Linked DNA regions of Kluyveromyces lactis. The protein of the gene in region 1 interacts with the protein of each later gene in a pairwise test. Links are inferred from orthologs where the notes say so. Each region holds a gene or a part of one and is shown in the gene's direction. Other genes may lie near its edges.

Region 1 (4,291 bases):
TTGGAAACGAGGTGATTTCGATCATTATCCAGAAGGGTACGATCCAACCGATCCAGATAGACCAAAGGTGAAGAATGCCTTTGTTTACAATAAAGACATAGAAATGGCTCAATCTTCTACAGACAGTATACAGACAGAAGAGATCCCAATGGATGAATTGTTCAACAGTTCTGCCACGTCACCTCGAAGCTACCCACATAACCGTCATCAAAGGTCATCAGGACGTCCATCTCTAGAGATAACAAGAGCAGAGATGAGAAATTCAAACCAATTAGACAACAGATACTCCGTCGAACGTGCGCGTGTATCCTTGGAGTTGCCGGGTGTCACTAGAGCCGCGACACTATTAAGCAGTCATGACTAAAAGTGATAGAAAAATAAAAAAAAACAGAACTTTCCAATTTCTTCATTTCAACGTAATAGTAGAGACTGTCCTCATAATTGCCAATTGAAATACTTTCAATACTTCTTTGTGACAGTTTGTAATTCCTAAACAAAATTTCCTTTCTGCTACACTTATAATTCATTCATTGCATGAGAAATGTTATATATGTAAAATTAACTAACTAACCAACTTTAAGTAACTTTAAACAAGATAAACTAAATTAGAAACAGTTGTGATATACCATGTATGTGTCGGGGCCCTATCTCATGAGAATCCCACCACTATATTACTTTCTTTTTTTTTTTGTCCGGGATCTATTTTTAACGGAAATATCCCATTCCAGTATTTCTGTTCTCCGGCAGAGATTTTTTTCGGTTTTCCCTGTCTAACCAGCGTAAAAGAACTACTGTCCGGCATGGATAACCATGGATATTTCTTGAATATCTAGGCCGGTTTTATGTAAAACCTGCTTAAGCCAACTACAAACTTTTCATGGTAAAAAGGATATCATATATTTACGCTACTATAATTGAATATTGCCATACCAGTCTCTTAACGAGCACCGACATCTCTTACAACGTCTTTTACCCCCCTCCTCTGATCACCTGCCTTGTCGAGGAAAGCAAACTTCCGCCATTTTTAAATATATCGTGAGAACCATGTTAGTAAATAATGAAATATAAGTGAAAAGAGAGATCTTTAATTTTCCAAAACCATGAAATAAGTGGTGTTAAATATAAACCTGGAGAAAACAGCGTGCTTCTTAGATCTGAGATCTGAAGGAAAAGTCAAGGATTGAATACCCCAGGACGCATTGACCGTGATTACTGAATTGGCGTCAGTATTAGGTATTAGTGTCCCCATATAATTTTTACTGTTTGAGGTGTGTTCGTGTGTTTTTTGTTGCTAAATTTTTTTTCACTTTGCTTAGATACACTGTTTTGGTTTCAAAAAGACTACACTGAACTGATTCCAAACTCACCTTTGGTTTCAATTTTGATATCACAGCAAGCAGCAGTGAGTGTTGGCGTTAGGATTGGTAGATCCTTATTGACCTAAGTTCTAATCTGCTCTTTCTGGTACTGTGGATTTCTGTTTTTTTTCAGATGGCACGATTTCCAGGCTCTTCATCGGGTCACGGTGGTTTCCAAGCCGGCATGAATGGTTCTCCGATGGAAGATTTGACACCACTGGGTTCAGGTATATCGTTTGATTCGGCTTTTGGGCAAGCTTACATGAACAATGGGACGTCATTCGATGTCAAGAGTAAAAAAATGTCAACAGCACATGGTTCGCAAGTCATCATTCAAAGTAATTTGAAACCAACTTTGAACGATCTAAATCCTCCTATGACTTCTTCGCAACTTCAGTACAGTCCTACGATGTCTTTAAAAGGTGGCAAGGGTTCGAATAAGGTGAATATCATGGCTAGTCCAGTTCAGATCAAGTTAAGTGAACCACCGGCTTTACGTGAGACTAAAGCCGTTAAGACATCTAAATCAAAGAAAAATGGTGCTGGAGGATCTGGTTCTAACGGTAAGAATGAAATGGTATTCGTGAATTACTCTGTGCAAGACACTATAGAAACGCAAAAGAAGAAGAAGAAACAATCTAAGAGGGATCGAATGCTGAGAATTTTTACCGGAAATAATAACAGTGGTAATAATGACGGTAGGTCAGCTTCCAGTCCCGGTTCGAGTTCGACAATCATAGCTAGTAAAACTTTGACTGTTCAGTCTGCACCGGCATCTGCCGCCAAGAGAACTTATGGGTCTTTCTTGAAATGCCACAGGTATAACCCAAGCAATGCCGTTGTTGAATCTGAGCAAATGGATGAAATAGTTCCAAGATCTGAACCTATTCCAAATGGACAAAAACCTGCTTTGACAAGATCTGCTAGCTCTAACGTGGCTTTGGTGAGAAACAATGGTAGATGCTCTTTAGCCCAATCAGCTCAGAAATTCGTCAAAAGCGAACAATTGGAAAAGATGGACTTGCTGAAGTTTAATATAGCTAAATCAGCAGGTAATGGAGCTCAAACTGCAAGTGGTCATGCTAACGCGTTACAAAACACAAAGAGTCAGTCGAATATTGAGTTGCGAATGGTTCCAACCCTAAAGTTAGAGCCAAATGGGCCATCAACTTCCTTGTCCAACATTCCAGGAGCCCTAATGCAAATTAAACCAAATGCATCCAGTCATTCGGGAAACTGTGATGAGGATGACGATGGTGACGACGACTTTGATCACCACTACATGGAACCATATCAGGACACTGAACGTATTTCATCGGTTCCATCGTTACACCAATCCGATGTATCATCAGATACACTATCCACATATTTCACTGATGAGAACGATGCTTCTGTGGCATTCAGTAAATTATTCACGAGGAAAAGAACAAACACTGGCGGGTCCATAAGTTCTCTTCTCTCATTGTCGGCGACACAACCTTCTATCCCGGCTTTAGATAGACATCAAAGTAGTACTTCGGTTACTTCCTCTATGCGTTACTCGCCAATACGGTCCGGTTCTCAAAACCGAACAAGATCGAATACTAGAACTTCCAACCATAGGCTTTCCAGAGATTTAACTAGTTTACAAACTTCTATGAAGATTTCTAATACTGACAGTTCTGAACTGCCAGGTATGGAATCGTATTTGGACACTCATAACAAGGGAAATAAGCCAACCCATAGGAAAAAGCAAGAATCGATATCAGATATGGCAAGGTTGCATTCTGCACAAGGAGCAGTTATGAATTACGCTTGTACAAATAGTATCACCTCCATCTCTTCCTCGTCTTCTACTCCTGGAACTGCAGATAGTGCATTGATGCAATTTCCTAAACCGAGATCCGTCAAAGAGAATTCTGAGGATGCAGACATGCTTGAAGATGATGGCCATCTTTACTTCAGACCAACGATTCATGAAGATGAGGAGTATGAGTCTGCCATGAATACAAGTGCGTCAAGCAGCCATATTGGAATATCATCCACATCCACAATTTCTACTAGACAAACAGCCCCTGAGCTGGCGGACGCTAATTCTTACCCCTCATTTATGGAATCTAAGAATCCTCTTGCAGAGCATCAACATCATCTACCCGATATCAATACGAACAGCGAGATGGTTTTGCATACCAAGCAAATGGGTACAGAATATGGTAACGAATCATTCAATAATTACATGGACTTTAACTTCGAAGATTTAGCTCCATCGCAACTATTTAATGATAACGGAAATTTGTTACATCAAGTGTTCAATAGCTCCAATAATGACACATCAACCATTACATCAGGTATGAACGTCTCACCTATTACAGTTACAGGTGGGAATACCTCACAGGATGAGGTCACTACCTTAATGCCTTCCAGTCATCAAATGCATAGTTCGAACTTATCATTTCAGTCACGTATTATGAATGATATTGATCGTCTGGCACACGGATTTAATCTTTCAGATCTGCCAAATGAGTAAAAGACTTGACTGATTCAGTAAAACATATACAACAAAATATGTTACACTGTCAAGCTGGGACAACTTAATGAGTTTCCTGAATAATTTAAGGATATTATTTTATTAACACTAATCATAGTGTCATGAATTATGTCAAAAGAAAAGCATTTTACATTCTTTAATAGTTTTAACCTGCATCGAAATCCGCATCTTCATTTTTTCAATTATTTGCGTGCTCCTCGCTATTTACTGGATGCAGATATGTGAAACAAAGCTTCCATTTATTGCTAGCAATCAACCATACTATTGTAAAAAGGAAAACCAAACAACCCTTCTTTTCATTCTTGCACCCATTAGTATTGATATCTAACTAGTGTTTCAAAAGAACCATTTCGAACGATCCTTTTTAAACCCTCTTAGGGGGTAAAAAAGTCATCTTCTGCTGAGG
Region 2 (3,410 bases), on another chromosome or scaffold:
TATTGAATACAGTGACCGATTCTAGATCAAAGAACTAGAGGAGCAAAACTGAAACAATAAATTAACACCAATTCTTCACATTCAACGAGTTAGGTATCTTATTTATCTCGTATGTATCTTGTTTATAGTAAAAGTCAAAATTCAAAACAATATGACGACGAGTTGTAATCCCTATGTAAAAATCCAAACAGAGATGTTTTCAGAATATATGTTAAAAACTGGGGGATATACAAAGGAGCAATCATTGTGTTTCATATAGATGTCGTGCACATTTCATGTCTAGGTTTATGATGCAAAAGTTGATATAAGTTGAGGCAAGTTTCGGACCTGCCTGACTTGAAGTAAATATGTTTAAAATAGCGTCTTAAGAGCAAAGTATCTCAAGGAATGTAGTCGCAGAAGAGTATAGGGAGGAGTGGGTATCTTGGATCATGTTAAATTTAAAACTCTTCTGCTAATTGCTTCGACTGGAAATTCAACTTGGTAGGATTGCTCTTTGCCTGGAACAACTTCGATCTGTGATCGTTCAACTTCTGGGAACATGGAGAGAGCAAATCATCGGTAGGAGAAGCAAACTTGTTCTTCATTTCTGAAAGCTGGTGTGGTGATGGTTTCTTAAACATGGCCTTGTGCAAACTTGTACTCGCAGTTTGAGAATCCTGTTTCTGATGTAATGGTTGAAATTGGCCGGCAGTCATTATTCTTTGAGCTACTTTGAACTAGGCTTGTATCTGTTTGATCTTATTTAGTACCTGGCTCCTGAATAGCAGTTTTATAGGTTGTCGTGATGAACACTGTAATGTGGTTTCTACACATGTAGCATTGCATTTCTATGACTTTATATCACTATTTCAATGTTTACGTTTCTCCTAATTGGGAAATCTAAGTAGTGTATTCTTTGTGTCGGTCACATGACAGTTTTGAGTCACGTGAACATTGGAAAATGTATACCGTAATTTAATCATTAAGAACTACCTGTTGTTCAATGAATCTAGGATACTTTTCTAGGTATATTGTGGTTCCTCACCGAATCCCGAATCCAAGTGTTGTCACCTTCCCCATTTCTATCCACATGATAGTCACGTTTATCTACCGTTTTCGGAAATTCTCTATTTAGAATCGAAAAAAATCGTGTCGAAACCTTGGAAAAGTACAGAATACAAAGAGATCTGTCTAATGATCGAAGCATATGTCCTCAGGTAAGTGTTTACGCGAGATCAATAAAGTTCAGAAGCAAATTAGTAGGATTTACTAGGAATTGACATAGTATCTTAGTGTTTTAAGTGAGAAAATCTGATTAATATGCAAGCTTTTAAGAAGAAATTACAGCAATTAGTGTATTCTTTTAGTACCGAAGATCGGTATGCGGATTACGATGAAGAAGCTGCCAATCCAGATGTTGCTGCTGGAGTAGAACGGTCGATAACTGAATCTAACCATGGTTCCCAAATCCAATTGGCGGATTATGTGGATGGGTCGAACCCCAGTGGCAACGAGGGTATCAATGAAGCACTTTTGGCATGGAGACATATCGATAATTGGACGTCACAACATAATCCTGATTTGGCAGCAACGTTGAGTGACCCATGCACAAGACACGACATCAACAATGCTGAGAAGGATTTAGATATTATTTTCCCCGCTTCAGTAAGGGCATCTCTAAGGTTGCATGATGGTCAAGAAGATCTAGTGTCGATGACAGGCACTGGGGGTTTGTTCTTTGGGCTACAGTTGATGGGACTAGATGAAATCGTTCAAATGACAAGAACGTGGAGAAATGTGGCTGAAAATTTGGAACGTAAGAACCATGAGTTACAAATTAAGATGGATAAACATCAAGAGCTGAATGGCACCACTGTTGATTTGCCAAACCAACAAAAAGGATACGGTAAATTAGAAAACCAAGATTACAAAGCTATGGATCCAAATCTTCAAAGGAATATTTCACAAAACTATAAGAAGCAGTTCAAGCTACCAGATATCCCAGACCAACATTCTGTTCCGCCATTGGCCATTCAACAAGTCTATGCTAACTCAGGGTGGATTCCATTGGTAACGGATAATGCAGGGAACCACATCGGTATCGATTTGGCACCGGGACCAAAGGGTAAATACGGTCAAGTTATCCTTTTCGGAAGAGAATTCGATACTAAATTTGTTGTTGCAAGCAATTGGGGTGATTTCTTGTTAAGTTTTGCCAATGATTTAGAACTTGGTAATTGGTTATTGATCGATGAAGGTAACGACCAGTTTGCTGGTGAAGGTGAACTTGTGTTTAGAGACAAAAAGAGTAATGGCCCAGTTCGAGATTACTTAGAAGTTTTGGTAATGAGATCAAGAATGAAGTGGAACTCCTTTACCGAAAGAAAGCTGCCCGAAGAACCTAAAAGAACTGTTTCATCATCTCAAGGGTCTCAAAATACTGTAGAACCTGCAGAACAACAGGAAACAGCTTTGACTGTTGATGAAACTTTGGATGAGAAGAACGACACTTCCTTATCTGTAGACAATACTGGCACAAAACAGGAAGTTAAGGATCCTGAAACGACAGGTACAAAGACAGGATCTAGCGCTAAAGCGGAAGACAATCTACCAAAGACTTCAAATCCAGATGAAGTGATGGCAGATGGTGCTGACACACAGGAGACAAGCAAACACGAACAAAACGAAAGCACTAATGCTGTAGAAAACACCGAAACCAGTCAAGAAGGTGCAGTTGAAACTTCAGAAAAGCCTGAGGAAAAGCCCAAGAAGCAATCGAAGAAAGCATCCAAGAAAAAGGGTAAGAAGGATGAAAAAAAGGACACTGATAGTAAAACAAAAGAGCCAGAAGTGGAGGAAGAAACCGAGTCCCACTTGGCTAATTCGGTTGAGAAGTTAAAGGACGATTTCGAAAACGTAGCTCTTTGATCTCTTAACAAGACTAATGTCCCAAATCTTCAATTTCATACCTTCCAAAATATATTCCACAATTTTCTAAGATGGTGTTATTTTCTCAATATAAATCGGATATTATTAACTAGTAGTAATGGTAAAATTATGTCCAATTAGATGTTCTATATATTCTGTTTATGTCTTTACCAAATGATATGCTGTACAGTAGTTTCAGATTCCCATTTTATATCAAATCTCTTGAAAATAATATACGTGATCAAATTAATTATCATAAACCATGCACATTCAGACAAGTGTCTTTTCGTTCCAGTCACCTTACCTATTGGATTACCCCAGAATGGTTCAGGTGCCATTGTGATGAAAAGCCTCCAAAATATAAATGGCAAGATGTAGTATCGAGGTTCAAACAAGGGAGAAGGAACCACCGTCATAAATGTGCACATAATCAAGGCAGTCCACGAAATATGTGTCAATTGAATTGGTAAATCGATTGGGTTTTTAATTTCAATAGGCAA
Region 3 (3,029 bases), on another chromosome or scaffold:
AAACGCACATTATGCTTCTGTTTCAAGAAGTTAGCCAAGTTTACTATGAATACTGGACAATTGAAGTTCCATGAGTTGAAAGCGATACCAAATTGGGCTCCCTCAGGTTTGAATTTTGCAAGTTCTTCCTTCGATAGGACCTTATACTCTTCCAAATATTGGCTCAAGGAATTAATCTTGGCCTTGGGAGGCTGGTAATCCCATAATTCCGTGGATGGTCTGCGAGCTAATCCTAACCACTCTGCATCTTTACCCTTGTAGAAATCCAGTAATTTTTCACTTAAAGTAGGTAAATTCTCATACGTGAACCTATCATACCACATGACGTTTTTATCATCAGGTGAAATACAAGACCAAACACCACCTGCCCATGGACTAGTATAACCAGTGGGTGACTGGTCACCTGGTAAGTAATCTGCCACAATGCAGATATTTTCACCCGGAACGCCGTACAATTCGGTCAAACAGTACGTGACGTACAAACCAGAAATACCTGCACCAACAACAGTGATCAATGGCTGAGATTTGTTAGACATGTCATTTGATAATTTCAGGCTCAAATAAAGCTTACTGATGAAATTGTGACTTTCACCGCTATAGATATATTCAGTAGATGTTTTACTCTACTATAGAAACTGGGAATGCTCAAGTAAGTGATCTGCCAATTGGCTGTTTCCTACTTCAAACTGAAACTAGGTTGGAAAACTTTACTGAGGAAAGAGAATCTCAATCCCATGTCCCTTCACTTATGTATGTTACCGATGACAAACCATGCTATTCTGACAAACGCGCTGCCTCGACCCCACCTATCTTAGATATCACTTCCAGCTCATTTACAGTCAAGTCATGTTGCCTTCTCTCGAGGAACTACCATTTAAGGTAACTCGAAAAATCTGTAAATCCACGTTGCGGTCTTAGCTATTCCCTTATCAATTCTCTGTTAACTTTAACTATGACTTTCAGTTCACCTATCGGGAAATGAGTTCCGCAGATTTACCCGCATGGATCCAATTTATGCTCAGTCGCAGTGGTAACAACCGACAGAACATGTGTGAAACTGCACTTTCTTGAACGGTGAAGCGCATTGCGGTATGTCCGAGCAGTGATGTGTATTATAAGTCACATGACTGACACCGGGGTAACATTTTTTCAGGTTTCGAGATTGGATGGAATGTTCACCAACATGAAACAAAGATTCAAGGACGAAACATTCTTTATCTGGACGACATGGAACGTCGCGCATTGTGTCAACTCAATGGGATACTTAAGGCGCCGAGTCAACGCTCGGGAATGACGATAAAGGATTCCCATCCAGAGTTTTGCAATTGGACGCTATAGGTATATATAATATTTAATCCTTAGTGGGGGGAAACTAAATCTATAATAGTGGAATAGCAGAGATCATTATAACAAGCAAACCGGAGATCTAACAGCATAGAGATGCCACGAACAATCACGTATGATATCCCATCCCATTATCAACTAGTAGATCTGGTTGGTGAGGGAGCATATGGTACAGTTTGCTCTGCGATACATAAGCCAACAAACACGAAAGTTGCAATTAAAAAGATACAGCCGTTTAGCAGATCGATGTTTGTTACCAGGACGTTACGGGAGTTGAAACTGTTGAAATTCTTTCATTCGCATGAAAATATCATATCGGTCTTGGATATAGTACGTCCGACGTCATGGCATAAATTTGAAGCAGTTTATCTTGTACAAGAGTTGATGGAAACGGATTTGCAGAAGATTATCAACCAACAAAATTTATCAGAGGATCATATCCAATATTTCGTTTATCAAATACTAAGGGCTTTAAAATCGCTACATTCGGCACAAGTAATCCATAGGGATTTGAAACCAAGTAATTTGTTACTGAATAGCAATTGTGATCTCAAAGTGTGTGATTTTGGGTTGGCTCGTTGCCTGGCATCGAGTGATCAATCAAGAGAGAATATGGTGGGTTTCATGACAGAATATGTAGCTACCAGATGGTATAGGGCTCCAGAAATCATGTTGTCCTTCCAAGAATACACAACTGCAATGGATATCTGGTCATGTGGATGTATACTAGCAGAAATGATCATGGGTAAGCCGCTTTTCCCAGGTAAAGATTACCACCATCAACTCTGGATCATCTTAGAAGTTTTAGGGTCTCCAACTTTGGAAGACTTTGAACAAATCAAGAGTAAAAGGGCAAAAGAATACATATCTCAACTACCCATGAAGAAAGGTATACCCTGGGCTAATGTGTTAAATAAAGAAGTTAACCCTCTTGCTATCGATTTATTGTCCAAGATGCTAACTTTCAACCCAGACAAGAGGATCAGTGCAGTTGAAGCGTTGGAACATCCATATTTGGCAACATATCATGATCCAGATGACGAGCCAGATTATCCCCAACTAAACCTTGAAGACAATTTTTGGAAAATTGACAACGAGGCCCGCGATAAAAACGAGGAAGACGATATTCCACTGGAACTGTTGAAAAAGATGCTTTATGGTGAAGTTATGAAGCCTCTAAATTGATATGTTCGATATTCTATGAACTAAAAAAAAACTATCCGCATAGTCTTTGAATGAATGTACTGAGACTCAAGGATTTTACGTTTCATGGGTACTTCTCATTAGGACGCCTAGTCTGTCAAATTGAGGAAAAGTAATACAAGAATTCTCATACTCATATTAGACAATCATATAGTTAATTACATAACTAAGTAAAGCTACGAATAACCACATCACGTTTTTCATACTCTTTGATCCCTTATGAACCTTAAGTGTACTTTATGCCCTGAAATGAAAAATAAAGTAGCGATATAATTAGAATGAACAAGAACTTGAACAAAAGACCCGCATCAATAGAAGAAAAAATGAAAACCAAAGTGGATCTTAAAGAAATCATCAAGAGCACCAAAACAGGTGCAAATAGCTTTAAGGATTGGTGAAGTGTATAAAACGTGTTATTCGGGGCTCGCATATCATAATTCGTTCAATATGATCAGTGAAACATCGACGATGCGGTTACCTTC

What was found. The genes of interacting proteins can lie anywhere in the genome.
Region 2: the proteins of BCK2 (region 1) and SMI1 interact in a two-hybrid assay, tested with the Saccharomyces cerevisiae proteins (2 studies listed by BioGRID). The link is inferred for Kluyveromyces lactis from reciprocal best matches to the Saccharomyces cerevisiae genes BCK2 and SMI1.
Region 3: the proteins of BCK2 (region 1) and KSS1 interact in binary tests that used the Saccharomyces cerevisiae proteins (3 or more experiments, as listed by UniProt). The link is inferred for Kluyveromyces lactis from reciprocal best matches to the Saccharomyces cerevisiae genes BCK2 and KSS1.

Annotation. Positions count from the first base shown.
Region 1 is NC_006039.1:1,561,505-1,565,795, forward strand, and holds BCK2 (Bck2p), read left to right. Parts: upstream 1-1,491; coding exon 1,492-3,864; downstream 3,865-4,291. Other genes in the region: aminophospholipid-translocating P4-type ATPase DNF1, read left to right, coding at 1-364. UniProt on the Saccharomyces cerevisiae protein: Dosage dependent suppressor of PKC1 deletion and MPK1 deletion. Involved in cell lysis.
Region 2 is NC_006041.1:1,408,682-1,412,091, forward strand, and holds SMI1 (Smi1p), read left to right. Parts: upstream 1-1,302; coding exon 1,303-2,910; downstream 2,911-3,410. Other genes in the region: prohibitin subunit PHB2, read left to right, coding at 1-38; BNS1 (Bns1p), read right to left, coding at 441-698; DIE2 (dolichyl-P-Glc:Glc(2)Man(9)GlcNAc(2)-PP-dolichol alpha-1,2- glucosyltransferase), read right to left, coding at 3,078-3,410. UniProt on the Saccharomyces cerevisiae protein: Protein involved in the regulation of cell wall assembly and 1,3-beta-glucan synthesis, possibly through the transcriptional regulation of cell wall glucan and chitin synthesis.
Region 3 is NC_006037.1:217,152-220,180, forward strand, and holds KSS1 (mitogen-activated serine/threonine-protein kinase KSS1), read left to right. Parts: upstream 1-1,440; coding exon 1,441-2,529; downstream 2,530-3,029. Other genes in the region: KLLA0_A02475g (FAD-dependent oxidoreductase), read right to left, coding at 1-536; LUG1 (Lug1p), read left to right, coding at 2,995-3,029. UniProt on the Saccharomyces cerevisiae protein: Together with closely related FUS3, KSS1 is the final kinase in the signal transduction cascade regulating activation/repression of the mating and filamentation pathways, induced by pheromone and nitrogen/carbon limitation, respectively.